Linked DNA regions of Saccharomyces cerevisiae S288C. The gene in region 2 interacts genetically with the main gene of each other region. Each region holds a gene or a part of one and is shown on either strand. Other genes may lie near its edges. The genes, in order: CHM7, INO2, STT4 and ERG11.

Region 1 (6,656 bases), on a different chromosome or scaffold from region 2:
TGTAATTTACTTGGAAGTACCAGCAAAGCCATAGAACAGTATGTCAAATATTTTGAGTCACATTTATTCATCATCGTCAGAAAGATAAAAACAACTAAAAAAGACCTACCCAGAGATATGAAAATAAAGTATCTCAACGAAAATCTTCCTATATTGAGACTGAAGTTCGTTAACCTTCCCACATTTCCTAATTTTTTCGAAAGATCAATTTTCAGAAAGACGATCTTACAAAGTGATCAAAATTCCTCATTTATTAAGGATATATTACCTGTTTACAAAGACAGCCTCATGGAACTTTTCAAACAAAGAATCATAACAAATGTCTCACAAGAGGATGAAATGCGATACCGAGATCAATATCAACCCTATTTATCGCAATTCTTTCAGCCGGTAGAGGTTATGGCAGATCTGAGAATCAAATATGCATCGTTCTTGTCGTTTTATGAGAATATCGAGGCTGCTGTGAAGTTCGGGAAGACATACAATGAAAACAACAGCAAGTCATTTTTCCCACTTATCTTTGATAGAGAAAGAATTCCCAAAGTTTTTCAGCAATCCAACGAAGTAAAGAAAAATTTTGTCCTACCTCAAGAGATGGATGATACGTGGAACCAATTTCTCCGTAATTATCACGAGCAGAATAAAGTGGAAGATTCAGATGCTTCCAAAAAAGAGCTATATCCGATGTGGAACTTGCACCACTGCGAAGTGGAGTCGCCTTATATCATACAGGATGGAACTAACCTAATATTTGAATTGACCCTTTTCCAAACATGTGTGCTGACTTTATTCAACGAAAGCGATCATTTGACCTTGCAAGTTATATCAGAGCAAACGAAACTGGCGTACAAAGACTTAGCGCTAGTCTTAAAATCCTTCTGCAATTATAAAATTCTGACAAGAGATATTGACAACACATACAGTATCAACGAGAGCTTCAAACCTGATATGAAAAAAGTGAAAAATGGGAAACTACGTGTGGTTCTACCGAGAACCGCGTCTCTCCAAAGTAGCAACACAGGCGGTGAAAGAACCAGTTCTGCACACCACGAAGGAAGTAATTCCCAATGGACCCAAGAATTACTAAAGGCATGCATAACTAGATCCGTTAAGAGCGAGAGGAATGGGCTAGACTACGACCATTTATTTGAAACGGTAAAGCAGCAGATAAAAGGCTTTAGTGTTGGTGAGTTCAAAGACGCCTTGGCCAAGTTGTTACGAGACAAATTCATAACTAGGGACGAATCAACAGCAACTTACAAGTACTAAGACTGGTGCCATCTTATATATTACCTAACTACTGAGATAGTTTATAATCCGTACCAGCCCTAACTTTTTTTCCGACAGCATTTTATTTCCTTTCGTTTTTTTCGACTTCGTCGCTTTCTCCTCCATATAAAAAAACATCAAGAGATAAAAACTATCTTTCTTGTCCTTGTCCACGTTCAATACAACAGTTACACTGCAAACGACATTAGTGCAAATGCAAACTGTAGTCAATTTGCCGTATGCCTGACATACAACAGGTGTTGTATGAGTGTGACAAGGACACTTTATATATCTTTTTCAATCTCTCTATCCGGCCTTCTTGGCAGGATAGCTTTTCGTTTCAATTTGTTAATGATGATAACCAAAGATGCATAGTTCAACTGATTGAACATACTATCGAAATGAAGATAAAAATTTCCATCGAAATTAGTCTTTCGCTCCTATCTGAACATTACAAAAGAAACGAAAACTGTATTAGTAATATGCTTGTAATTGGAGAAGGGCCGAGGGGCGAGACCATTGTGGAGCGATTTTAAACCTCTTGCAGCACGAATCGTAACGGACCCAGCGCGTACTTTATTCTCCCTGTGCATTCGTGGAAGTTTTGAAACTCTTAAAAGTGGGCTCATCTGTCTGGTATTATCTGTGCCCCTGTTCTACATGTACTCGTGCTTTCTTTATTGCTTCTTTCGGTAACTCATCTTGCACATGCTATTCTTTTCGGAGTTAACGAAGCCAGGAGGAACCTTAATGGATTTACCTCTAGCGCGTCAACCCTAGAAGAGGGACTTTTTCCACATGAATAGTCAACTTTTAAGATTCGTTAGTAGTTGTATAGGGACATATATATGCACATATATATAATTATATACTTATACACTTGCTTACAGGGGACATTTTTGACCCTCAAAGGAAGTGAATTACAGGTATTGAATAACAGAAATGTACGAGATGTCAGGTATAGACAGCCTCTTTCATGATCGAGTTGTTCATGATTACTCTCATACTAGTGAGCAGGTTATCGTCGTTTACATTAGTTCAGCAGCCGGGGACAATTCTTGGCTTCATCAGTGGTTCAAACCAGGAAATCTTAGTGACGAGGAGCGCGAAAACATACTGTGGGTAAGGTTAGTAAATGGTACTAAAGAGTGCTTGCTTTTCAAGAGCATTTTCCCCTCCTCATCGGCGCCAAGCATTAACATATTACAGAACGGTCTACTCGAATGTTCTATCCAAGGTAATAGCCTTTCTCGTGAGCAGGATCCTTGGGAAACCTTTATCAATGGGTTACAATCAGTCTTTAAGGGTCAAGTAACAAAGAGGAAGTTATTTTCCAAGAGCAATGAAGAATATCAAAGAGTCAAAAGAATGATTCAGAACGACAAGTTGGAGAGGAAGTATGTTTTTCAAAATACTAATGACCCGCAAAGAAAGCCACAGAAGTGGAAGCAGTTGACAGTTACTGATAATGTTAGTTACAAGAGTCAAAAGGGGTTTCTCGCCCAGAACTACTGTACTCTACAATTGAAACTGCCCAATGGTTACACAATCTCTAATACTTTCCCTCCTCAAACAAAATTACACAAAGTAAGGATGTGGTTAGACTATAATTGCTACGATGATGGAACACCTTACCTTTTCCACAGAAATATACCAAGAGTGACTCTTACGCGAAATGACGAACTCAAAAGTTTGCAAGAGTTGGATCTGTTGCCCAGATCGACTCTCATCTTAGAACCGCTGGAAGCCAATAACAAAACATTCGACTACATGGAACAATCTTCTCTTCTACACAAGGTTTACTCAGGTTTGACATCTTTTTGGGCGAAAGAACCGGAAGTAGATGCTTCCTCCTCCCGTCTTGGTTACCAGAGGTTGGGCACAAATGTGTCAAACAGCGCCAACTACTCTTTACAAAAATTATCTAGCTTAGACATGGTGTCGGACGGGGGAGGAGGAGGTGGTGGTGATTCAATGACTCCTTCAGCATATACTACCCCAAGGATGTATCCTTCTAATGGTACTTCTCAATTGCGACAAAACGTGTCTGAACTAAACTTGTCTTCCAATAATTCTGCATCTAATACCAAAGTTCGTACATTAGGTTACTCTAATAATAACGGCAACAATTAAATGTGCTTTTGTTTATTTCCTATTTGGTTATTCACACATATTTTCTTTCTTCCGTCTATTAAAATATTCATATTTATTTTTTATTTATACATATATATTTATTTATTAGTCACTCAGTTCGTCAACGTGGTTGTTCTTCCATCATGATTTTTCTTATCTCATTATCGTGGTTTTCATTATCTTGCACAGGTCCTTCATTTGTATTTATCTTCAGATTATTCAATCTCTTTAATAGATCCTCGCTACTGCTTTCTTTTGGCTCGTGCAAATCCTGGTTCTTATTTTCTTCCTTATTATTATTCTTTTCATCAAGTTCTAATTGTTCTAATTCTCTTTCAATTTCTTCTTCTGCTTCTTCGTCTTGACCTTTATTATAATGAGCTAATAAATCATTGACCTCTTCGGTACGGTCATGACCCTCTTTAATCTCATCTAGTAAGTCTTCTACTTTTTCGGTAGAACCAATATATCCATTAATTGACTTAATTACTTCGTTGGATTCACTTAAAGTTTGAATTAAAACCGCATTAGTAGCACTGGTGTCTATTTGAGTTCTTACTTGAGCGAGGTTATTTTGAAACTTTAGTAACCTAGAAAGATGTTTTTCAGATAGTAATCTCGCCTGTTTATATTCAATCCTTATTCTCTTCGGCAGCTCATTAAACTCTGGTCCTCTCAGTTTAATGTTAGATTCATTAATTTCTTTTCTTAGCCTTGTAATTTGTTTGTTGATGTTTATAATACCCACTTTAACACTAGCAATTCGAAGGTCATTTTCTGTGATGCCTTTGGAGAACCTGCTAGTAATGTCTTCTACTTCAGCGGCAATGACTTTGATAACATTGTCTTTTGAAACTATTATGTGCTTATAATTCTCTATAAAGTGCAGGAACACGTTTTTCGTTTCTTCATCATAGGTTGAAAAGAACGACTGCAAACTTTCTGTGGTCACAAATTCATTCCTTGTGAATACTAAATCTGTAATAGATGAAGCCTCCATAAAAACACTTCTTTTGAGTAATTCATGAAACCTTTGATACTCTTTTTCCAAATTTGCTTTGATAATAAATTTGTCTTCTCTCAAGTAGAAATTTGTTTCATCCTTCCGGCTTTTATACATGTTTGTAGACTCCTTCCAACTTCTAACCCACTTCCAAAATCCTTTTCTACTGTTGTCAGTGTACATTCCACCAAGATTGAATAATTCCATAGGTATCAAATTTCCTTCATTAACAAGAACGTCAATTGCTATATCAATGCTTTTCGGTACGCCATAAACTTCATGAGTTAATTCTTGCAAAGTCCTTGTCCCTATAGTAAATATGATTCTGTTGGAGTTGCTGATGTATTGTTGCAAGAAGAAATCCCTCCATGTACTGATGTTTGCTTCGTACCCATCGGGATTTAAATCTTTCAATGGCCTAAAATCTCTATATAAAGATGGTAGTCTGGATTCTGGTAAATCTACTTTCATTCAGATACAGTGAGATACTATTTGGCTGGCTTTGGTGGTGTTTTGCCAGATATAGTTTAAGAATTTAAAACTCCTCTTATTGTCTCTACTAACGCTGCACTTCATTGAGTTGTATGGGTGTATCAATAGTGTGCTTGCCCAAACAAAAATGTTATTATATAATAAATGTTGATGAAATCTATTTGTTTATTATATATACCAATAAAAATACATAATTGTGTGTGATTAACTATAAATACAAAGAACCAGCAGATACGATATCTCTATGAATTAATTTCAAGACAGCTTCCATCTTCTCCTTAAGTGAAGAGTTACCAATGGTATTGGCGACGTCTACCAGCTCCTTCACCAATTCCTCTAATCTCTTGAACATTCTGATCAACGAACCTTCGTAAACGTCGGTCATTTTACAGATTTGCGTAAAAGTAGCTCCTCTACACCATTCGTAAACAACTTCCATTAGTTCATGTCTGAAGCTTTCAACGTAGTCCTTTTCTACAACTTCAATTTTAGAATCCTTCATTATCTTAGCGATCTTTGCTGCAATTTCTCTCATAGCCTTCAAAGGTTCGGCAAGCTCTGGTTTCAATCTAGGCGCTTCTTTACAGCGTTCTTGGAATGCAAAGCATGATAATAATGCTGCTGCTTGTTCCGGTTTCAACTCATTGAAATTACCATTGAAGATCAATTCTGTTAGTAACAGTTCATCACCACTAGATATTTCACATGCAACTCTACCTTTCAGTTCAATAATGTCATTAGGAGTACAAAATCCTAAACGGCGCAAAACTCTTTTACGGCGACGAAGATCGTCCAGTTGGATTACGGCTTGTGATTCTGAAATTTTGCGTTTCAATTGTTTCATATCTTCATGTAAATCGTGTTTTCTACTATATTTACCATATAGTTCTTCTAGTCTCATGGAATTGGTTAAGGGATTGGAGGATAACTTTGTGTTTAAAACGTCAATCTTCTTCATTAGCTTTAAAAAGTCCTCATCTTCGATCTTCATGTTTTTAACAGGATCCAGCACGGGAATACCATCCGGGAACCTCCGATTAACCTCCCTTAAAGACTTCCCAACAGTTTCTTTTTGACCGCTGGCTCTAATATCTTTGGGCATATATAGTCTCAAATTACCAATCGACTTGATTGAATCCAAAGTTATGGGAATAACAGCACATATGCTTTTTTCACCTTCTTCCGCTGGGCGAATCCCTTCTGGTAAGGTAGGGTTGAAAGGTTTCAACAAGTTGACTGGAGAGTCTATATACATGGTATTGACGACCACATTGACAATATAGGATTCATGGTCTGTATAGACAGCACTTGGGTTGCGTTTGTTAATTCTTTTAGCAAAATCGACAACAGCACCCCAGCCATAGTTATCCTTACCATTGACAGAGATTTCAACTAATCTGCCTGGTTGTAGGAAACTTAAGGCGTTTGCCGGATGGGTGACAACTTGACGAACATCTTCACGGTAACCTTTGATAGCCTGCTCAATCTCATGGTATTCTTTAACATTTTCTTCATCTTCGACTTCGATGCCATCAAAGTCTTTTTTCAGTTCAGCAAGTTTCTTTTCCATAACTGGTACTGAAATAACGTTTTGAAATTGGAAGAAAGAATGCTCCAACATAAACTCCGGAGAGATACCTTCAACTCTCATTAAGTTCAAAATCATATTATATCCTAAGTGAAAAGCCGAGTCTAGCCTATCTGCTTGGCCCTTAACCATTCCTTTAGCAACTTGAGGTTCCATTTTTTCATCAATCAT
Region 2 (6,355 bases):
ATAGAAAAGCTTTCTGAAATACCGGAAAGTGTGAAGCAAAGGGACGTAGAGGTCAATACAACCGCTATGAAATCAGAGCCAGAAGCCACGTTGGCGACAAAAGATACCTCTGTGCCATTCACTCCAAAGAATAGCGATGGCACAGAGCCCCCCTTACATGTCTTAATTCCACCGAGGTTAGCAATGCCAGAACAAGCGCATACGTCACCAACGAGTAGAAAAAGTTCTGATAATCAACGCCGTGAAATGGAATATGCTCTCTCTCCAACTCCTCAGGGAAATGACTATCAACAATTTAGGGTACCTTCAACTACTGGCGATCCCTCAGAAAAGGCGAAGTTTGGGAATATATTTAGAAAATTATCACAGCGCCGTAAAAAGACCATTGAACAGACATCTGTTAATAGTAATAATAGTATCAATAAACCTGTGCAAAAGACGCATTCTCGCGCTGTTTCAGACTTTGTCCCTGGTTTTGCTAAACCGAGTTATGATTCAAATTATACCATGAATGAGCCTGTCAAGACAAACGATAGCAGAGGTGGCAATAAAGGTGACTTTCCAGCATTGCCTGCGGATGCAGAAAATATGGTAGAGAAGCAAAGGGAGAAGCAAATTGAAGAAGATATAATGAAATTGCATGATATTAATAAACAGAATAATGAAGTTGCAAAAGGAAGCGGGCGGGAAGCTTACGCTGCACAGAAGTTTGAAGGAAGCGACGACGACGAGAATCATCCCTTACCACCTCTCAATGTTGCAAAAGGTCGAAAACTACATCCAAGCGCAAGAGCTAAATCAGTTGGTCATGCTCGTCGTGAATCACTCAAATATATGAGACCCCCAATGCCTTCATCTGCCTATCCTCAGCAAGAGCTTATAGATACTGGGTTCTTAGAATCAAGTGACGATAACAAATCCGATAGTTTGGGAAATGTTACTTCACAGACGAATGATAGCGTCAGCGTGCATTCTGTGAACGCACACATAAACTCGCCATCTGTGGAGAAGGAATTAACAGATGAAGAGATATTGCAGGAAGCTTCTAGAGCTCCAGCCGGTTCTATGCCATCCATCGATTTCCCCCGTTCTTTATTTTTGAAGGGTTTCTTTTCTGTTCAGACAACTTCATCGAAGCCTTTGCCAATTGTTAGATACAAGATTATGTTTGTTCTGAGGAAAATGAATATAGAGTTCAAGGAGGTTAAGGGTGGTTTTGTTTGTATGCAAAGGTTCTCTTCCAATAATGTGGCAGCGAAGAGAGAAGGGACTCCAAGATCGATCATGCCACTTTCGCACCACGAATCCATTAGACGTCAAGGCTCTAATAAATACTCACCTTCTTCTCCTTTGACAACTAATTCCATTCACCAGAGAAAAACATCTATTACCGAAACCTATGGAGATGATAAGCATTCGGGAACATCTTTGGAGAACATCCACCAACAAGGTGACGGTAGCGAAGGCATGACTACAACAGAAAAAGAGCCCATCAAATTCGAAATTCATATCGTCAAGGTTCGTATTGTTGGTTTAGCCGGTGTGCATTTTAAGAAAATTTCTGGGAACACTTGGTTGTATAAAGAGCTGGCTTCTAGTATATTAAAAGAACTAAAGTTGTAAGTAACACGTTCCCTGAGAAACCACAGCTTACATTTTTGATATTCGAAAACAAGAATATCCGTTCGATAGAAATTTATATATATATATAGATTCTTTTTATTCTCTTTTGGAAAGAAGAAATAGAATGGACCTAAGCAGACACTCAGCAGTTAATATTTTCGTCCCTTAATTGGTATTATTTATAAATAAATGGCACGTACTTTATGTGTAAAGCAGTTCATCATCGATTGATGGAGAGAATTTGTATACGTAGAGCGATCATTGCACCGTTTACCAGGACAGGATTCATATGGATGTAATAGGACTATTACTTCACTGAATCAATACAACTCGTAACGGTCATATAACTGCGAGTTTGTACGCAGTTATTCTGTTTGTGAAGACAGATTATACTTCGCCGTTGAAAGATTTCTTTACTTCACCATCATTGCCTCCGGATTCTCTTAACTTCTAAATAAAATGAAGATACTGGTAATTCTTGTCCGCAAAAATCTACGCTACACTCTGGAAAGAAACGAGATTTTCTACCGTCTGGTTTATAATGAATATATTTACATGACCAGCTTTGCAATCATATGATATTTTCGCCCATGTATACGAAATTAACTAAAAATACATCCAACGGGAGGCCATTTTCATCACTAATAGCTTGTATGAGCTCAGGAATCATCCAGTATGTGCTGTAGTGCTTCATTTGCGCTTCTAATGGACTTGATATCGTTCATTACACAAGTTAAAAGAATATGCTTGGGAATTCTTTTCCCGTTTTCCTTCGGTGGGGTCCTTACTGATTTAATGAGCCTTTCAAAGGCTTCTTTGGTGTTTATTCTTCGTATCTTCTCCATTTGAACGTGTTTCCATTTCCGTACCTTCACAGGGTCGTCCTCGATATTGGCTGGAATATCAGAGTCTGGGATTCGTATCTCAGGTACTGAAAACGGTGGCGGGTTGTAGTGGTCATTGCCGATAGGCTGATGAGGTCCTTCCCTCGTGGTGAACTCAGTTGGCACATCTGCTGTGTTTGTGGGTAACTCCCCTGTGTTACTGTGTGGATGTGTTTCAGGATATCTTTGATTTAATTCGGTATACCTATGCTGCTTTTTTGGTGATCTTATATGTAGATGTGATTCGGAGTTCATGGAAGCGTTGGAAGACATCATATCCTGTGATATTAGATTGTCTAAAAACTGTTCAATGGCATTCGATTCATTCGTGCTCAACAACCCCGAACTGGAAGGAGACAACTTGAGACCAAGCGCTTGATCAAAACCCATGCTTGGTTGATGAGGGTTGTGATTTAGATAGTGTGCATGAGTATGCAAAGGAGCATGATGAGTTTGGTTATCGGCAGGTATAGTTTCTACGTGAGAGGGTTGCACGGTTGCTACGTTAGGAATTATGCCGAGCTCGTGTGTTAACAGAGGAGGGGAAGTTGCACTAAACGTGTTTTCATGTATGTGCGCAGACATTTGGTCGTCGAAGTTACTGCTGAGCATTTGGTAAGCAGTTTCAAAGTCTATATCGTTATCCAGATCTAGGATACCCAGTAATTCGTTCCCAGTTGCTTGTTGCATTTTCTCCTTTGCTGTTCCATGTATTTATTTATTGCACGTCAACGAGATGGAACCGAACCAATTTCGAATTGCTTATGACGCCAAATACTGATTACAATAAGATATGATGAGATGAGCCTTTAATCACTGAAAAAAATTCACATGTGTGTTGTACTTGGACAGGTGTCAACGCCCTGCCGATGACGGAGGGAGATAGAAAACCGGCGAATTTTTTACCTCCTGCTGAAAAAAGGTTAGGTTGGTTCCATCTGCCGCACTATGGAGGGTGATTCAACGGAAAAGGCGCAGGAAGTGCAGTAGTGACCGGCAAGCAGCATGTTGAAAGACATTGTTGGGAAATCCTGTTTGAGTCCTGGTGTGTCTTCATTCTCCTACCATTTGTAGCTGGCGTAGATTTGGTTTGAGTGTGGTTGGTTAATTCATATTAAGCGTTGAGATTATAATAATAGAAATAATGGAAGAGGCACTCGATCCATATTATCAAGGATTCAAAGTAACTCAGATCTGCAGTAAAGGAGAGATGCGACTGAGAACAAATTCCTTTGCAATGGCATCGGCAATGGCACAATATGGAACTTTTTCTTGTACTGTTGAAAAACAGCACGCTGCAGTTGCATCAGGGTTGTTTTAAGTTGTTGTAGTAATCTCGCGACCTGAGACATCCTTGAAGCGGTGCCTGCGAAGTCTTAGTGAAGAGTTTAAGATTAGAAGTATATAGCATCGAAGGGATGGCCCAACTGAAGCAGGTTCCTCTGCTTGTTTCTCAGCTTATATAAAGGATGGATTGCGTATGTATACATGTGCATTTGTGCGTACGTCATTTTTCGATAGAGTCAGCTTAAGTACATGCGTATAGGTATGGAAGAGCTTAGAAGGGCGCTGGCGCTGCTAAATGGTCAAGGATATGAGTTTATGGTGTTCATAAAGGAAAAAGACCATTTAATAAGTGAGTCAATTCCAAAAAACTTGTTCTCAGAGAGTTTTATATCATCTTCAATTGAAAAAAACCCTCCACTCACGTTCGATCCATTGGTAAATAGGAAAAGAATAACTGTTTATGAAGAAAATATCCAACCAGCGATCATGCTACCCTTAGATCAACCCCTACTAATACAGAATTATCTGTATACGGCTTTTAAATTATTAAGACAGGTCCCATGCAAGGCGATTGCTAAGTTGTGGATAAAAATTATTGAGCCAAGGAAGAAAACCAGGTTTCCATACATTAAAGGCAATGCTGGAAGGCCGGAATGGTGGCCAAAAGATGTAGAACATAAAGAGCCGGACCACCTCCAGAAAGCGGATCGACTGAAATTGATGTGCACGATAATTATGAATGTTCTACCGCAATCTCCCTTCAGCCTTGAGATTTTGGACGAGCTTACAGGAGTGACCGCCGCAATGACCATTTTTAAGAAAGAAACTGTGAAGAAAGTAATCATGAAAAATGTTTTCGAAATTGCGAAATGCTTGTGCAACAAAGATTTCAAGCAGAAGACCATATCACTTGATGATTTAAATGACCTAGCCCAAAAACAGAAAAAATCATACCATAGTCGTCGATTTGATGTAAATAAAATGGTTAAGGTAGAAAAAGATTTGTTACAACAGTCAAGTGGAAGCGATTCTTCACCCTCGATGATCCTTCCTTCAAAAGAAAGTGACACAGAGTATTTCCCCAGGGAATATCCGAAAGACCCTGTATCGGAGGATTATTCGAATAGCATATCTCGATTAGAAAATTTAGTGGAATTTGATCCGTTATTCCTCACTAAATTGGATGAATTAACTAGTAGCGATGATTGTAAAGATTTTATTTGAGAAAAATTTCAAAGCAAAGAAAAGAGGTGTGAGGAGCGCAAAAGCAAAAAGGGGGATAGCATACATTAACACATTTTTTGGCTCTTTGCTACTTGATTTGGTTGCTATCAAGGCGATTTAGTTTCGTCTGATAAGAAGGACACTATAGATTGGTTGAATGATTCTGGGTTATCTAAAAAAAGATTGTGACCGGAAGAAGGTATTTCTAAATAACTTGCTCCTTCTAGACAGTTCTTTAAATTGTTCAACTCTTTGACCATGAACATACCGGCTTTTTTATTCATCCAATCATATTGCCCATATACTATCAATAATTTCTTAACATTTAAATATTGCAGAGAATCCATCAAGGGGTCCTTTGCTAGGATACATCTTGAAAATAACGCTTTGAAAATATCTGTCGTAACCTCCGGTATACCTCCCTTACCGTAAAACAGTTCAAATATGTACTCTTTGTATGCCAACGATGGGACTCGGCTATATGCCGCCATTATGTAATTCCAACATAACTTAGCTCCTAATGGTCCCATCATTCTCAAAATGTGAAATTGTTGTTCAAATAAGTATTTTGGAATCATATTTCTTTTGGAGTAAAACTTGGAATTTGGATTTTTAAAATCGATAGTATAAAGAGTGTTGGAGTGGAAATTATTATTTACAGACCAGATATTCCTTTCCACTCCTAGTGGGGATACCAAGCAAAGTTTGTTTACCGAGTTTGGATATTTAACAGCATATTTAAAAGATAAATATCCGCCAAAAGAATGCCCCACAACATTCATTTTGCCCAATTTGTTATCAATGCGCCATTGCTCGATTCTGTCGAGATAGAAATCTTCGTACATTTGAATCACAAATTTATTGTGATTTGCATTTATTGTATATGGAACCTTAAATTTATTTTCTCCAATAAATTTGATATCTAACGGCAGAGGTGTTGTTGTATTGATCTCTAAAGACGGTACTGAAGACAATCCGCTCGCTGGCATGTCAATTGAGTATAAATTTCGGATGTGCTTGGACAGACCTGGATAATTTCTGAAAAAAGACATTGAAGATGCGGCATAGCCATGTATCAGCAATGTTGGTGTTCGAACAGTACTTGTGTTTTCATTTTGGAAATGCCATTGATTTATTTCGTTGAATAACTTATCATTCTTTTTAATACCTTCAACGTGTACCTCTTCCATAATACGTCTCTGTAATTCCTCCAGCCGCATATAAGTTTTGTGTGGGTTATTCAAATGGCTTGACCATAGCTTGAATCCAGATTTTTTGACAGCATTTTCCTCCTTGGGTCTAAGAATCCTTTCCAAAATTTTTCTCTGGAGACTCTT
Region 3 (10,916 bases), on a different chromosome or scaffold from region 2:
CAATCATAGATTTGTTGAATGGGAAAACAGATGTGGTAGCACCGATTTCAGCACCCATATTACAAATGGTACCCATACCAGTAGCGGAGAAGGTGTCAACACCATCACCGAAATATTCAACAATTTTACCAGTACCACCTTTGACAGTTGTGATACCAGCCAATTTCAAAATAATATCCTTTGGAGAAGTCCAACCGTTCATCTTACCAGTCAACTTAACACCTAAGATCTTTGGAGCCTTCAATTCCCATGGACGACCTGCCATAACATCAACGGCATCAGCACCACCAACACCAATAGCCAATTGACCTAAACCACCAGCATTTGGTGTATGGGAGTCAGTACCAATGATCAAAGCACCTGGGAAAGCGTAGTTTTCCAGAACAATTTGGTGAATGATACCGGAACCTGGCTTCCAGAAACCCATGTTATATTTCGCAGTGGCAGAGGCCAAGAAATCATAAACTTCCTTGTTTAGATCTATAGCTCTCTTCAAATCTTTTTCACCACCAACTTGTGCTTGAATCAAATGGTCACAGTGGACAGTGACTGGCTTAGCAACCTGTGGTAAACCAGCGGACATAAATTGTAAAATAGCCATTTGAGCAGTAGCATCTTGACAGGCAACACGATCTGGTCTTAATTTTAGGTATGAAACACCTCTCTGAATATCTTGACCATGAGGGTCATCCAAGTGACCGTACAAAATCTTTTCCGCGTAGGTAAATGGCCTGTTTAATCTTTTTCTTACGATATCCAGCGTTTCCACATTCTGCTTGTAGTTAATAAAAGAATGATCTTCTAATAAGTTTTGGTTGACTTTTGAATCTCTAGTCAAGTTGGAGACTGTCGCAAGACCACGAACAATGGGTCTCTTGATGGCAGAACGTGCAGACAGCATTGTATATCTATAGTAATAATGGTAGTATTTATTACCTTCGTTCTACTATGTAATAACTAAGAAAGAGTGAACAGAACAAGGGACAACGGAATTAAGCAACATACTCCTCCTAATTAACCTCTAAAACCGGAAGATTATATATATAACAAAAGATTTTCCTTGTCCTCCCTTTTTGTGCTTGCCTTTCCGAAAACCGGCAGCGATTGGAGGTTTGATGGTTAAAGTCGCCTGCGGAGAACAACTGAAGGGTTCAAATTTTTCTCGTATGCACTAATTTCTCTATTGATTGGTCAGGACCTTTGCCGATTTCGGCGCCGAAATGCTCGAAAAACAAAGGGTATTGCCCGGCCCCGCGGACCTCCCTTTTGCGGCTCTCGGCCATTTTTTAGGTAATTTGACACCGTGCCCAAATGGCTTGGCACAATCGAGAATCAGGCACCCGCGTGTGACCGGCGTCATTCATTAAAGCCAGATAAGACAAAGTAAAATACAATGGATTATGATTAATACAATGATATACAAAAAGAGAGAAAATAAACGAAGGCTACGTCTGCGTAATTGACGATGGGAAACTGGTATTTTTATATAAGCATATGTAAAGTGCGAAGTATATCAGTACGGAATGCCATTTGTGAGCCTTTGGAATTCATCATAACCTTTAGTGAATATACTTTCATAACTTTTACGGATTAGCGCCTTCATATATAGTGCAGCTTCGTGATCGGTTTTTTGAGGTTGAAATCTTGCTCTTAGATTCCTAATTGTCTTGTGACCCTTAAAGCAGGGGAGACCGCTTCCTAACATAGGATTTACACACTCAATTATGGCCTCCACGTGCGGACGGGCGGCTAGATATGCCTTGATACAAAGTTCTTCAAAGTCCAGATACGCTGGGGTCTGGGGCGAACCTCCCATCACTTTAACCATTTCTTTCGTCAGCTTGAATGGTACTGCTTCAAACTTGATACCACCTGGGACAATATCAAAAATAAACCCAAAATCGATATGTAGACAATGTCCTTGATCATCGTACATAATGTTACCATTATGTCTATCCTTGAATTGCAACAAATACGAAATTACGCTATATCCCGCTAAGGATTTAACAAAGTTGTTTCGTGCGTTTTGAAATTCGATAGTAGATTCATTACCAAATTTACTAGTGAAATATTCATATAATCCATTAACAGCTTCACGTCCTAACATATCACGGGATACCGAATTGGGTAGCACATCGATGACACCACAACCCGGTGCCGTCGCAGTAACTCTGTAGGGAAAAACGTAGACATCCAAGCCAATACTAGACCAAATGGTTCTAAATAGCGAGATCAATTGTAACGCTAGAACATCTTGCCTACAGTCATCACCGACTTTGAAGATAGCAGCTTGCCATTTTTCAACTTCCTTGTTTTTACCTGTCAAAGGATCTTTTACGTCTTTCTTTATTTTAAAGGTCGCCATAAAAGGCGCCTTTGCGTGAGATTGAAGTGGCTTACCACTCTTCCGATCAATATCAATAACTACACCGTCAGGATTAGAAGGTAAATAAACATCAGGTTTCACCTCAATTTTGCTCATTTCTTCATCGATCTTATGTTTCTTTTCAGCCTTACTTTTTTTTATGTATGGTTTCAACTTACCAGATATGCCAGTTACTTCGTCGAAGAATTCAAATTCACGTTCGTAAAAATCGCGATGAGATTGGCTGAAACTTGAAACCATACGCTCCCTAATACGATCTAGAGTTGGTTTGATTTCATCTTCTTGTATACCTTCATCATCCTTGTAGCAGTTTGCAAGCATATTCCAGATTATTTGATGAGAAAATAACACACTAATTTTCGCAGTATCCAAAATCAATCTTTCGACATATCCGGTTTTATCGTATCTCAAACATTGTACGATTTGAGGAACATAGAAGAATGCCAAGTTCACATCTTGTGATTCCAACGAATATATGCTGAATTGTAAGATAAAAGAATTACCTTGCCATTCGGGAAGGAAAAGGTTGATAGATTTTAACGGGCTCACTGGCGCCCAGTATAAGGTTGCGTGTAGGTCTTTCTTACTGCTCAGGTGGCTTCCTTTTATGAACAGGTCAAGAGCACTTGGGGACCCCACACACATTAAAGCATGTTTTGCAACTAAGCCCACTAAAACATCCTCAGCTTTCTTGCTATAACATCGTTGTAAGAGATTTATTGCTAATGTTGGATCTTTAGCAAAGGTAGCTTCAACGATATCGCTTGTAAGCTCGTTGCTGTCGGCTCCTTCAATCTTCTCAGTCGGAGTAAGCCAGGTTTGAATCTGCTGGATTTCGCTTGCCAAGAAATAGTTCAGGATCTTGTAATCTTTCCCGCAATGACGTGACATTAGCGAGCTTAATTTGTTGAGCTGAAGGAAAAGGTCCCTAGTAACAGATAAATCTGCTTTGATTTTCAGCTCATTTGAGCCGAATGGCCACGCTACTGGTCTTTTAAACCAACTTAGGGCACCGTTTGTGATTTCTTGCGACAAACGGCCCATATACTTGGATCCCTGCTTATAACTTGCGTTTAGTACGAGAGTCGCGAATAACAATAATTCGTGGCGAATCATTCTAGCGAACGGGTGTAGTGAAGCCTTATACAGATTCTTGATACCATAAAGCGCACATTTCGTGAAAATTTTCAATAAAAAGTCACTTTGAAATAGTGTGCCCTCGAAATGGGAAGCAAAAAATTTAATAACATGAAGATGTGGTTGCATAGCTTGGGATGCATTTTTTGCATCTCTGTTGATACCTGCTTTGTCGTAAGGGGAATATTCCATTTTTTGGTATTCTTCGCCCTTTAAGTCATGATCGCGAGAATAGAGACCAATATTGTCATCAATGGAGCGCATCCAGCAATAGCATACTTCAACTAAAAGCAAATGTGCAACTTCGGGCTTCTCAGTTATGATTGTTAACCATACGTTTGTAGCAATCTTTAAAGATGCAGAGGTGAAGACTTCGAACGGGATGTGCACAATATCATATATCAATGACGCTGGTGCACCATTGCCAAGAATTAACAACGCGGTAGCCATATCAAGAAAATCAGTTACGTCTTTAGTTATAATCTTATTTCCTAAGGTCAAATTTTTTCTTATGTTTTGAGTGGAAATACCTATTTGCCTTTTGATATCCTCTGGTGATGATGTAATAGCGGTATCGAAAAGATATTTTGACCTCCAAGAATGTAAAGATATAAATCCAGAAATCGTGTTAGGTTTCTCTGGACCATAATAAGTAAGCCTTGATAATTCCTTATCTGCAGGTAAAATCAAACCAGCCATATCCATGGCAAATGAGACACCAAATTCAACAGAATTTAGCCTGCTGTACTCACCGAGATCTGATATGTATGATTGCAACAAAATCTTAGTATCCTGGTTGCTTCTATTCAATAGAATTCTTACCCATTCTTTAGCTGACTTGTGCAATCTTGATAGTGTCGTAGCGCGCCAGGACGATGAGCTTGGAACCAATATTGTTGTCTTAGAATGTTTTAATTTAAATTCATACCGTGGTTCAAATTTATGCGCCTCTGAGTCCAAGATACTATCAAATAGGGCTGTTAACATATCTAATAAGGTGTAGAGAGACAAATGATGACATAACGATGATGGAATAGATCTGATAAATATTTCACAGGCATGAAAAGCGGCATCCTGCAAAGTTGGTTCCCTATGAGAAAGGCAAAGTAGCAAGTTATTAAGTTGTTGAGCAATCATTTTGGAGTTGAATATGGCATCGTTACCCTTTTGAATCAACCTAGCATATTTTCTAATCATGGAAACCGACAAAACTGCAATACACTTCTCAATTGAACCGGAAAGAATGGAGGGGTCTGAGAAGTACAGTAGAGTCTTCGAACAATCACCTGCCTCGCATCTTATCGTTTCTAGAAGAACGGCAGCCGCTAAAAACATGATTTTAGACGATGAAGTTGTTCTGTACTGAACAATATTGGTATTGAAATATTCGGTTATCTGCTGTTTTTGTTGTTTGATATTTTCGTTAGATGAACCGCGGCGCAAAATTGTATTCATTTCCAATGAAAGCTCCTTGTTATTAGCAGGAAATTCAGAAGCCAGCGGTGGTGAATTATAGGCAATAGTTAATAAGAAAGAAAAATTTCGTTTGACAATAGGCCCGCCCAAGTGGTACCCATGGATGACAAAATTAAACCAGGCGTTCCTAAACTTGTTTGTAGTGACTTCATCCTTATTGATGTCCAATGGCGTATCGCCTGGAACAGGTAGTAGAGCGGCGAGGGGCTCTAAGTAGGTAGCGATTTGATCAGCAACACGGGAAATCTCCGTTTGAGGTCTGTGATGTTCCAATCGTTCTACTTCCCCACTGGCAATGATTGAGTCCAATAGATCATGAAGATACATGAAATATAAGTCACTTGAAAAATGCCTGGCCAACAATTCTTTTGATATCACACATTTCGCTTTAATAATATTTTTCAATAGTGCGCTATCATCAATTTTTGTTGCAATAACAGTTCTCGATTTGAAGAACTTTAGTAAAAGCGAAAATTCTGTCAGTGAAGTATTCGGAGCCAGTCTTGCCAAAGAATTCAAAATAACACCGTCTAATTCCTTTGACATAGAATTAACTTTTTGCGTAAGAATAGAGATAGTCAAAGCTGTTATGCTTTGGGTGTTATAGTATGAGGCGATTGTAGTCGTTGCAGCCACACAATTAGATATCAAAGAGGCATGGTATGTCATAGTAGCTCCACTATTGACATCATGGGAGGAAAGTTGGCCCACAGTTGTATTTCCGAGCAGAGCACCAGTGCCATCCAAACTGGCAGATGAATTTCGCAAGGGAAAGTAGTCTTTCTCAATATTTTTTCCAGATGTTATTGTTAATTGGCGCTCACGGAGCACCGGGACGGGCGATCCGTCCTCGGAAACAGCTAATAAGTTGTTCATGGAATAAATTGTACTCACAATTGCATCTTCATTTAGAGGGTATAACCCTGTGGTGAATATTTTTGCAACATCATTAACTGTTTCAGTCGTGATATGTGGAGACGCTACCAATAAAGGAAACATACGAATCAGAGTTAATGACAATTTTTCCGTGAAAAAATTCAGTAATGAGGCAGAAGCTACAATTGCTTTTATCAAAGATGGTGTAACGACATCAGATAAGAAAAATTTATCAATAGATTCAGAAACAACGTTTGTAAAACTTTCAAAAAGCTCGCTTTCTGTATCTTCTATAAACGGAATTAAACATAGCGTTTGTAGGTAGTGGGCTCGAGTATCAAAAGAAAATCTTGCACGGTTGTCTGTAGATAGGTCGAGAATATGTGACTCAGAACAAAATTGCAGGGAAATTTTACACATGTCTGTAAAAAACTGTTTATTGCTTCTTACGTTGAAAAAAAAGTCATCAATACACTTCGTATCATCGTTTTCATCGGCTACTTCTTGATCAAATTTGTAAAATTGGTATTGTTGATTTAGTAAGAACTCACTCAAGTTGGCGCCGACATGTGAAGTGTTTAACAGATGAGATATTAGCGAAACTTGCAAGCGAGATATTAATTCCAATAAGTAGGCACTGGATAGCTCATTTCCAGCATCGTAATACTGGACGATTGAATCATTGGTAAACGTTGCTGAGGAATTCAAAATCTTATCAACTTCGTTTAGAAATGATCCACGAAGCACAAGTTTCGCTAACTTTTTCCAGGTGAATTTAGTAAGCTCTGTAGAGTTGGGAAACTGGATAAATGCATTAATAAAGCCCACTAATGATAGTAGACCAGATTGTTTAATAGTAAAAATCTTTAATACACGCTCAAAATAAGTTGAAATGATGCCGCCTATATTTTCATAAAGAACGGGATACTGTTCACAAGCTTGAATCATAAACTTAGTCAGCTGGAAAGTTAGCAATTCAATCGGATTTCTCATCTGTTCCAACTTGAATTTCGAGGACAGAACATCTGAAATTCTTTGTCTTGGAGTTTCCAGAAAATAAGGCGCAATTATTTCTTTAAGCATTGTCTCTACCAGATCGAGCGTGGTAGGGATTGCAACACAAAGCGAAGTTAGTACTTCCCATTCACTCAATGTAAGTGGTATAGTATATATCTTTGACGTATTTGTGGAATAAAAAATAGGCAATGTATGAGTTATCAAATCTAATGTTGTACCATTACTGTTTTGATCATTTGGTGCACCCGTCGAAAGTTTAGTTAGTCTTCCAATAGCTTTCGCTCTTAAAGATGAAGAGGCTTTCAATCCTCTGGTAAATCTCATCTGCCTTAAACGAGTGGCGTTTTCGATTGCTGTAGTTATCTTTTTGTGATCTAATTTTTTTCTTGATTTACAATAGTTATTAATGTTGAATATGTTTTTTCCCACAACTCAAACATCTTCGCAGTATTCTTGAAAAAAAAAAATACTATTAACGTACCTTCATCCCTGCGCGTGCCGTTTGATGATATCAGCCAAAAGGTAAAATGAGATGAAAAAGGCCAATCATTCATAAATGTACTTAGAGACATTAAAGAATCAGTTAGAGAATATAAAACAAGATAATAAAAATGGTACGTAGATGCAACTATATCTTTCCGTTTCTCATTGGCGGTTTTTAGCGATCGAAAATACTAACATAATCTTTTTGGGGGGTGAGAATGTATATGTGTACTGGATATGTATATTCTTGGCTTTATTCAAATAGTTGAAATTACGCCAATTACAAAAGAAAAAGCAAAAAGAAAATGAAAACAGCAGTTCTATTCAGCCTAATTTATCGGCAGCAAGAATTCGTTTGAAAAGGGACCTTGATTCGCTGGACCTCCCACCAACAGTGACTTTGAATGTAATAACATCACCAGATAGTGCGGATAGATCACAATCGCCGAAATTGGAGGTAATTGTTAGGCCTGATGAAGGATATTATAATTATGGATCTATTAATTTCAATTTGGATTTTAACGAAGTTTATCCGATTGAACCACCAAAAGTTGTATGTTTGAAGAAGATCTTTCATCCAAATATCGATTTAAAGGGGAACGTTTGCCTAAATATTCTTCGAGAAGACTGGTCGCCAGCTCTAGATTTGCAGAGTATTATAACCGGGCTTCTTTTCTTGTTCTTGGAGCCTAATCCCAATGACCCGTTAAACAAGGATGCAGCAAAGTTACTGTGTGAGGGTGAGAAAGAATTTGCTGAAGCTGTGAGATTGACCATGTCTGGAGGTTCAATTGAACATGTCAAATATGATAACATAGTTTCTCCTTGAGTCAAGTTCAGAGTAATTTTCGGTTGATTTGATTATATATAAACAATAAAATTATAGATAATTGTGACATACTAGGCGAGTTGTCGCCTTGGTAACATCTTGCTACCGCCATCTTCTGTTAGTTTACGCCTTATGACCAACATTCCTTATATTCTCGTTCAAACTTTTGTCTCGATATTTTGCAGGTACCTGTAGAACTTAATGTGTTCTATTCAAAATAAGTATAAAATTTCTGGCCAGTAAAGGCAAACAAAACATAAAGATATTAATACGAAAAATTTCTTGAAGAAAACAAAAAATACTTCTTATAATAAAGAAACAGCGAAGCCATGGCTATTGACAAGATAATCAGGAAGGTGAGATACCCTGGATAGAAGACTAAGAGAGAGCAGGAAGTTGAAGAACGCAATCTCAGCTATCGCTAATTCTTACAAAAAATAAAGATATTACAACTATGGAAGAAAAAAATGAATGACTATACTAGTTAGTAATATTTAACAAGATAACGCTTTCTATTTTCTGTAAAAAAAATTCTGTCTCATGCACTTGGAAGCAGCTTCAACATTTCTCTTTTCCAGATGTCACATTTTCCGGACCGGCCGTCATTCAATCGCAATTAAAAGAGAAAAATACCAACAAGTGGGTTGATTTACTTTTGTGTTTTCAAAAAGACCAATAGTTCTAACAAAGTAGATGCTTAGAAGTAAGCAAAGTGGAATATAGAGAAACAAAATTAAGTGATAGATTTACTTTTACACAAGAAAAGAGATGAAAATTTTCAATACAATACAATCTGTGCTGTTCGCAGCATTTTTTCTAAAACAGGGAAATTGCCTTGCGTCAAATGGGAGTACCGCATTGATGGGGGAAGTAGATATGCAAACGCCCTTTCCAGAGTGGTTAACAGAATTTACTAATCTTACACAATGGCCTGGAATTGACCCACCTTATATTCCGCTAGATTACATAAATCTTACTGAAGTGCCAGAATTAGATAGGTACTATCCTGGCCAGTGTCCCAAAATTTCTAGAGAGCAGTGCTCATTTGACTGCTATAACTGCATCGATGTTGATGATGTAACTTCGTGTTTCAAACTTTCCCAAACATTTGACGACGGTCCGGCCCCGGCGACAGAGGCATTGCTCAAGAAATTGAGACAAAGAACCACTTTTTTTGTTCTGGGGATAAACACTGTTAATTATCCTGATATATATGAGCATATTTTAGAGAGGGGTCATTTGATTGGTACACACACGTGGTCACATGAATTCTTGCCAAGTTTATCAAACGAAGAAATTGTAGCCCAAATTGAATGGTCAATTTGGGCTATGAATGCCACAGGCAAACATTTCCCCAAGTATTTTAGGCCTCCATACGGTGCAATTGATAATAGGGTTAGAGCTATAGTAAAACAGTTTGGCCTAACGGTTGTCTTGTGGGATCTCGATACTTTTGATTGGAAATTAATCACTAATGATGATTTCAGAACAGAGGAAGAAATACTTATGGACATAAATACTTGGAAGGGAAAACGGAAAGGTTTGATCTTAGAGCACGATGGTGCACGAAGAACAGTTGAGGTTGCTATTAAAATCAACGAACTTATTGGTAGTGACCAATTGACAATTGCAGAATGTATTGGTGATACAGACTACATCGAACGCTACGACTAGAAGTAAGATTTCCGAGAAATAAAGTTTCTCTCTATATATCTTTGATCTCTTATTTAATTATTCAACTCGCAAAAATAAAAAGAATATTTTGTTATTTCAAAAGTAAAAAAGTATGTATTAGAATAGAGGACATATATAAAAATCATATATATCGATGCTTGAATGTATAAGGAAAAGCGTCAAATTATGAACGGTAGGTACTTAGGATGCTGATGTCACATAAAGTCAGAGGGTATAACTTTAAAAAGTAATTTTTTAGAATCTTTTAGCGTCAAAACGTTACACGTACATTTGAACAGTGTTAAGAGTAGATTAATTCAAATTATACTTTTACGTGCTCCGATACAGTCTCTACCTCTTCGTTGTCAGTGCAAATAACAATTGGCTTATCATGAACTGTTCTTGGAGATGGAGAATATCCTTTCAGACTCGTAATATTGATGACGGTAGTTATTCTGCGACATTGAGTAGTACTAGCATCCCTTATAACCGGAATAGTTGTTGATGTAGGTGAACTTTTTGGGACATAACACTTGGCAGTTGTTTGCAAATTTTTTGTGATCATTGATATGTTTCTTAGTGACATTTTTGATGCTATTGTTTTTATAGTGTAATTGCTATGAGTTTATTTTGTTGACAAGTATACTTGGCTGTCTTTTTTATATAATAACGAAAATGTGTAGTGGAAAAGCAGGTGTGTTTTGTCTTATATCTTACAAACTATATAGGCTTATATAGTTTTTTTTCAAAGATTCTTATTACTGCACAAAAAAAAATAAGATCCCAAATTGAACATTAACATTAGTCATATTCAGGGATGGCTCATCACGAACAGCAAACTGAATAATTTTCTTGTCTGCGTTCCTTTTTTTGTGCACCAATGGATGTAGTATGCGCACCTGATGCGCATAATAGATTGCAATTACACTGACTACAACTTACGTATATGCGTTTTTATTACTTTTCTATTGCAACGGCCTAAAGGAATTCGATAAAAGAAAGAGTAGGCAAGATAAGCCTGAATTTGGCTTTCGGCTG
Region 4 (6,721 bases), on a different chromosome or scaffold from region 2:
CAATGTGGGGAACACTTTAGCACTAGTGAGAGCTGGGTGGAAAACCACATTGAGGCTGGGAGTTGCAAAGGTTTACCAGAAGGCTATTCAGAGGGAATACGAGAGAAGAAAAAGACGTCTAAAATGAAAATGATAAAGACTTCGGATGGCCAAACAAGGTTCATCTCATCCGACGAAAGTGTTTCCGAACCAGCTTTACAAAATAAGAATTGTATAGAAGCGACAGTAATGCAGTCCAAGGAACGCCCTAATGACAAGATCATACCAACCAAAACCGAAAAAAACGATTTTGGAATAGGCACTCAATGGTTTGAACGCAAACAAATATCAAGACCTACACAAACTACACAATCAAGAGGACCTACAGAAGTCCAAAATCTCAAAGAGTGGTCAATAATATCTCCCCCAATTTTGTCACCCCAAAATGCATCTTCTGTACCACAAGAGTATCAATCATCAAGATACACATTGCATATGGATTCTCCAGCATTATCCTCTGCCTCCTCAGCGCTATCTCCACTTTCAGGCGATCCAATAACAACTACAGAAACAAATAAGTCATACCCATTGGATTCAGAGCAATCGTTGTTGGAGCCAGACAAAACCGAGGAGGACGCAATCAATCAGTCAAAGGAAAGCAATATGATTTCCATTAATGAGATGTTACAGAAGCAAATGGACTTTGAACTTCTGGGTGAGAATCATTTGAAGGAGACTCAAGATTATCTGGCCCTTTACAAAAAAGCTTATGGGATAGAATTTTAAGGTTAATTCAGGTATTATTTTTATGGCGGTTTCAGGTATTTTACGTAATATTATTATTATATCATTTTTGTAGCAATATATTATTTTTAGCGGTGCTTTATAAAACAATGGATACTAAGGATGGTTCAATTCACTCATCATTTGGATTTATCACTATAAAAAGCAGTAATGAATCTTATATACATTTATTTCAGTGAATCCATATTTAAGAGAGCTTCCTCAGTGACCCCTCCCCAAAACTCCTCTCCTCCTGGGCCCTCTCTTGATTAATTTAAATTGCAAAAAGATTTACAAGTTTGCGAAAAGACTGCTTTATTTCCGCTTGGCCTGTGAGCTGTGTGTTCTCTCTTCTAATCCAGTAGGCATGTTGCATAAATAAACCTTATATTTGATGTTGTTTTAGAAATGTAATCTATATATAATTTCGTAGTATAAATATTTATAAATAAAGAAGTGAAACCATACCACTCATAAATAATGCGGGATGGTTGTCCAAGTTTGAAAGTAACTAAAGAACATAACTCGATGTCATATCAAACGTACTGGCAAATAAAATAAATCATTGGAGATGGATGAGTGTGGCGATAAGGCCCACGTGAATGTACAACTTCTCTCTTTTTCTGTTTTTTTTTTTTTTCTCAGTTACAAACCTTAGATCTTTTGTTCTGGATTTCTCTTTTCCCAGATGATCTTGGCTGGACCGGTTGGAAGAGTAACCATAGATGTAAAGTCAGGAGGTGGAACGGTCTTACCCTCTGGGTAATGCCATTTTAATGTTCTGATAAAAATGGACATTAGAACACCTAGCTGACAGTAAGCAAAGTGTTCACCGATACATCTGTGTCTACCACCACCGAAAGGTAAGTATGGAGAGCTGACACCCTTAGAAATGGCACCGAAACCGTAATCGACTTCTTCACCGACGGAATAAGAGGAGGCAGAATCTTTGTTCCAACGGTGAATGTTGAATTGGTGAGCATTAGGGAAGTATTCGTCTCTTAAATGAGTGTAACCTGGAGAAACCAAAACGTGATAACCTGCTGGGATGACATAAGAAGTGTTTGGAACGTGCATATCTTTCATAACCTTACGGAACAAAGAGTGCAATGGATGGTGCATTCTTAGAGTTTCCTTAATAGTTTGGTTCAACAATGGCATTTCTTGTAATAAATCGTAGGTCAATTCCTTCTTACCACCATCCAAAACACGCATTTGTTCTTCGTACAATTCTTGTTGGACATCTGGTCTTTCAGCCAAGTGCAACAAAATCCAAGCAGAAGTGGCAGCAGAAGTATGTTGACCACCCATTAAGACACCAATTAACAAGTTAGCGATTTCTTGATCAGTCATCTTCACACCATCCTTGTAGGTAGAGTTCTTCATCAAGGAATCGATCAAATCTCTGTCTTGAATGTCGTTGTTCTTTCTTCTTTCCTTAATCAAAGACATGTAAGTACCGGAGATAGCCTTTTGAGCGTGATCTCTCTTTCTATAGTGTTCCAATGGTAAGTTAGGGAAGACGAAGTTGATTGGAGTGAAACCCTTATCCAAATCACTGTACAAGTAAGCAAAATCGGTATCCAATTTTGCTCTCATTTCCTTACCCAATAATGATCTTGAAGCGGTGAAAATAGTCATTTCAGGTTGAGTAACCATCACGTCAATAGTACCAGTAGTTCTTTCATTCAAACGGAAGTTTTTGGAGTCTCTGAAGTACTTGTACACTTCTTCAGCAATCAATGGAACGTAGCTCTTGAAGGCTTCTTTGGTTAGAGCACCCTTAACAAACTTCTTTTGCTCCATCAATCTAGAATTTGGACAATCGTAAATAACACCTTTACCGAAAACTGGAGTAGTCAAATGAGCGTAAGCAGCTTCTGCTGAAACATCTGCCAACTTAGCGTTGAAGACAAATTCGTGACCCTTTGGTCCTAAATACACAGTCATGACTCTTCCTAACAAAACGAATGAAAAAATATCACCGTATTTCTTTTGACATTCTTCGAAAAACTCGTATGGCTTCATACCGTACACAACAGCACTACCGACCCATGGAATCCAGTAAAACACTAGAGGTGGACGGTCCTTTCTCAAAGAATATAGTAATTGCCATACAATATTGTAAATGAAAGGAATTATTATGATCAAAGAGATTCTTTGGGCCAATGGTAAAGCCAAGAAATGACTTAAACCAATGTTTACGTATTCCAATGCCTCTCCAACGATTGACTTGGTAGCAGACATCCTTGTATTACTCGTTTGTTCTGTTTCTATTCAAGCCTGCTGCAATTGTGAAGGAAAAAAAATTTTTTCTGGAAACTATTAATTAATATAATGAAAAATTATTACTTCCTATCGAAAATACACACGCTGAACGATACTGCTTATCAATCTTTTTATAAATAATTTACCAATAACGAAAAGGGAAAAAGGAAAAGGGAAAAAAAAAAAGACATTGAAAGAGAGAATTAAGAGGGAATAAGAAAACTAAGGGAAAATACGCTATCTTATATAATGAATACACATGGAGGGCAATTTTTAGAGGCTTTTCGAATACATGCGAGTACGTAAACGTCGTTAACTCGTGGAGATGCACAATAGGATGTGCTCATACCAAGAAAAAAAAAAAATTCAGGCATAAAATCGATGTCTCCTGCAAGATACCTACCACACTTATTGTGTTCTGCAAGAGACTATTGTCATCTGAAAAGCGATTATCTTGAAATCTTAGTTTCGTTTCGTTTCGTTTAGGGCCAGCGCTTCGTTTGTCTCGTTTTTCGTGGATTATCGGCCTTTAAGATTGTCCAACCCGGCAAATCTTGCACGCACATTGTATGTGCGCTGCTCGTATAGTATCCACTTCGTGTGACATTACTATAATCGTACGGCTTAGTCGGGAATAAAGGCTGGCCTCATTTTCGTACAGAGACATTTTGCCGGAAATTTCGTATTTTGCTGTGCCCCCGGTAATTCCCGGGCGCGGCACAAAACCTCTCTAAACAACCGCCCATTGTTGCAATTGTTCGTCTGTACGGGACAGGCGGCGATCATAACGTCGCACGGTGCACAGCAATTGCCGTTTTCGGAGATCTCCCTGAGTAAGCAGTCGTTTACGACCTTAATGGCTTTACAATTATCGGTTGGAACAATAACAAGAACAATTGGTTCTCTGCCTGGTGGTGAGTTAATCTGGTGGGAATGTAGTGCACAGGCGCGAGTAACGTAGGAAGCGAGAGAGAACAAGGAAAAAGAAAAAGTGGAGGAAGGTTGGTTGTATTGTCTTTTTCGGTTCTTTTCTTTTCTTTTTTTCTTTTTTTACGATGCATGTATATGTATTTTAATAGTAAAATATATTATTAAATAGGGGAGTGTGGTTGTGTGATTTAGTAGAGTAGTTAGAATAAAAACGACACAGTGGAAAAAAAAAGGTATTTTCTTTCTTTCTTTCTTCAGATCTTGCCAGCATCGAATCTTCTGGATGCTTCTTTCCAGTTGACCACATTCCAAATGGCTTTGAAGTAGTCGGCTTTCTTGTTTTGGTACTGCAAGTAGTAGGCGTGTTCCCAGGCGTCAATGGCAACTAGAGGAACTAGTGGGCCTGTGACGGTATCCTGGTTGTAGGTTTGAACAACGTCCAGCTTGCCTCCATTAGAGAGGTTTTTCACAATGAAGGCCCATCCGGAGCCCTGCACGCCTGCTAGCTTTGTGTTGGTCAACTTAATCAGCTCGTCCAGACTGCCAAACTGCTCGTCGATTGCCTTTGCCAAAGCGCCGGTGGGTGGTTCACCACCGCCCTGCGACTCTGGAGCCAGGTTTTCCCAGAATAGACAGTGGTTTGTGAAACCACCGCCATGGAACTTGATGTTTTGTTGGATAGCAATCATTTTTCTTGCGTTTGCGGGAGAGGGCTCCTTGGCCAGAAGATCTGAGAGTTCTTGGAATTGGTCAACAGCAGTGTTGAATCCGTTCACATAAGTTTGATGGTGCTTGGTGTAATGCAATTCGTTGATTTGACCGGAGATATAAGGTTCCAATGCACCGAAGTCCCACTTCAAGTCTGGCAAGGTGACTTTGGTTCTCCTTGCTGTGGTGGAGAGCAATGACAAACCACCCTTCTTGGTTAAATTAGCAGCTGCTGTTTTCGCGAACATCCTGGTACGTTTTTAGGAGGTATAGTTATCAATTGGGGTTTCGTTCCTGTAGCAGCAAGTGAAAAGCAATCGCTGTAGCTAGCTTGTATATTTTGGGGATGCAACGCTCTTATATACAAGTTATAGCTTCTTCATCAGGGGTGTCTGCTACGGTCGCGGAAATTTTTCGGCACATCCCTACTTTTTTTTTTGCGAAGCTAGTGGTTCGGCCTGTGTTATTGGTCCAGGTTTAAGGTCGCGCCAACAATGATAATAGCAATTAGTAATCAGCTCAACCTCAAGTAGAATACTACACGTGCAATCGGTAGCATGCGCAAGGGCAAACAGGATAGACGCCAAGAGAGAAAGAGAAAGAGAGAGAGAGAGAGAAAAAAAAAAAAGAAATATATAGATTTAGGTATTCGTTAAATATATACACATTAAATGGCCTCAGAAATTTTAAATATATAAATAAATAAGCTCTTATATGTACAAATTTGTGCATATACTTTTCTTGACCTTTTTACTCCTCGGCTTGATTAAGAAAGGATGGTGGCGTCGAAATATAACTTTGGATCCAAACTTGAGATTTCCGCAGAGGTTGCTTCGCCATCAAGGAGAATCTCAGCCATTAATTTACCTGTTGCTGGCGCATTGTTAATACCCCAACAAGAATGTCCACTTGCAATATAAAGATCCTTGACATTTGTCTCACCAATTAAGGGACCAGAACTTGTAGGAACGTTTAAAACTGGCAAAAAACAGGCTTGTTTCCGCAAGAGATGGCCCTTTGATAGAGTTGGCGATAATTTGGATACGTAATGGTACAATTCATCACACTTCTCCGAAACTACCTCCACATCGTCCGAACTTTCAGGTATATTGACTAAAGTGTCGCCTTCGCCGCACACATAAACTTCATCTTTTCTAGCATACATTTCAGGGGAGAAAAATTCACGGTCGTTAACTTTTAGTTCAGCAAGAATAGCGTAAGGTGAAACTGTCTTTTCACTAGGCTTAATGGTGACAGAGTGGGCTCTCAATCCAGAAATTGGACAATCTTTTAGAATCTTGGAAGTCCAGGGTCCCATACTCAAAACAATCTGCTGGATGTCATTGATTTCAATGGGCTTCGCGTTCTCATCGTTGAAGATTGTACCCAGCTTAATGTCTGGATTTTCTGCATGCCCTCTGCTATTTCTGCGATTCTTGACGACAGATGGAAGGTACTTAAGAGAATGAACACAATCCATCTCGTCACACTTTAGCCCAACTACCTTACCTAGGAGAAGATCGACAGCACCTGTTTCCATTGCCTTCGATAAGATGAAATGGGTGAATTTATAGGGATGAAGCTGCGCTGTGGTATCAGTACCACCTAGTGATGACCAATCATTAACCAATTCTCTTCTTATCCAATCTAAATCAGCAGGCAAAGGATTATGGATATTAGTCTCTCTCAGTTGCTCCACGGGACTTACAGAGTCAAGATCAGATGCGCTATTTGTGTGGCTTCTCATGCGCTCATTTGTTAGAGAGTGTAAACTGGGTACTGAGCTAGAAACATGAATGTCTGATCCTTCTTCCTCGTTACTAGCGGAGTCGTTTTTCAAAGAAGAGCCCGAAGAACTCAAAGATGAATTAGAGTCCCCGATGTTAAACTTGTTGGATATGTAGCCCGGTCTCTTCTTTGGAGGAGGGACATTCAGATTATATGCCTTCTTGCTCAGTCTTTCGTAGTTTTCAATGACTTCTTCGCGAACATCTGCTTCTAAGGACACAGTCGTCAATCTTCTGTAGTCCCAGTTGTTTTCTCCATCATATTC

Evidence for each region.
Region 1: mutations in INO2 (region 2) and CHM7 together harm fitness more than expected from each alone (negative genetic interaction), as found in Saccharomyces cerevisiae (2 studies listed by BioGRID).
Region 3: mutations in INO2 (region 2) and STT4 together harm fitness more than expected from each alone (negative genetic interaction), as found in Saccharomyces cerevisiae (3 studies listed by BioGRID, with this or other methods).
Region 4: mutations in INO2 (region 2) and ERG11 together harm fitness more than expected from each alone (negative genetic interaction), as found in Saccharomyces cerevisiae (2 studies listed by BioGRID).

The regions. Positions count from the first base shown.
Region 1 is NC_001142.9:344,193-350,848, reverse strand, and holds CHM7 (phosphatidic acid-binding protein CHM7), read right to left. Parts: upstream 4,877-6,656; coding exon 3,524-4,876; downstream 1-3,523. Other genes in the region: cullin RTT101, read left to right, coding at 1-1,269; YJL047C-A (uncharacterized protein), read left to right, coding at 1,671-1,805; UBX6 (Ubx6p), read left to right, coding at 2,212-3,402; ATP-dependent RNA helicase MTR4, read right to left, coding at 5,106-6,656.
Region 2 is NC_001136.10:696,272-702,626, forward strand, and holds INO2 (Ino2p), read right to left. Parts: upstream 3,198-6,355; coding exon 2,283-3,197; downstream 1-2,282. Other genes in the region: serine/threonine protein kinase KIN1, read left to right, coding at 1-1,623; YDR124W (uncharacterized protein), read left to right, coding at 4,044-5,018; ECM18 (alpha/beta hydrolase family protein), read right to left, coding at 5,126-6,355. UniProt on the Saccharomyces cerevisiae protein: Positive regulatory factor required for depression of the coregulated phospholipid biosynthetic enzymes. Also involved in the expression of ITR1.
Region 3 is NC_001144.5:736,648-747,563, forward strand, and holds STT4 (1-phosphatidylinositol 4-kinase STT4), read right to left. Parts: upstream 7,217-10,916; coding exon 1,514-7,216; downstream 1-1,513. Other genes in the region: aconitate hydratase ACO1, read right to left, coding at 1-901; NEDD8-conjugating protein UBC12, read left to right, coding at 7,504-7,506, 7,641-8,204; chitin deacetylase CDA1, read left to right, coding at 8,973-9,878; DPA10 (Dpa10p), read right to left, coding at 10,201-10,464. UniProt on the Saccharomyces cerevisiae protein: Acts on phosphatidylinositol (PI) in the first committed step in the production of the second messenger inositol 1,4,5,-trisphosphate. STT4 functions in PKC1 protein kinase pathway.
Region 4 is NC_001140.6:118,675-125,395, forward strand, and holds ERG11 (sterol 14-demethylase), read right to left. Parts: upstream 3,010-6,721; coding exon 1,417-3,009; downstream 1-1,416. Other genes in the region: STP2 (Stp2p), read left to right, coding at 1-765; YHR007C-A (uncharacterized protein), read right to left, coding at 3,876-4,091; superoxide dismutase SOD2, read right to left, coding at 4,215-4,916; TDA3 (Tda3p), read right to left, coding at 5,435-6,721. UniProt on the Saccharomyces cerevisiae protein: Sterol 14alpha-demethylase that plays a critical role in the third module of ergosterol biosynthesis pathway, being ergosterol the major sterol component in fungal membranes that participates in a variety of functions.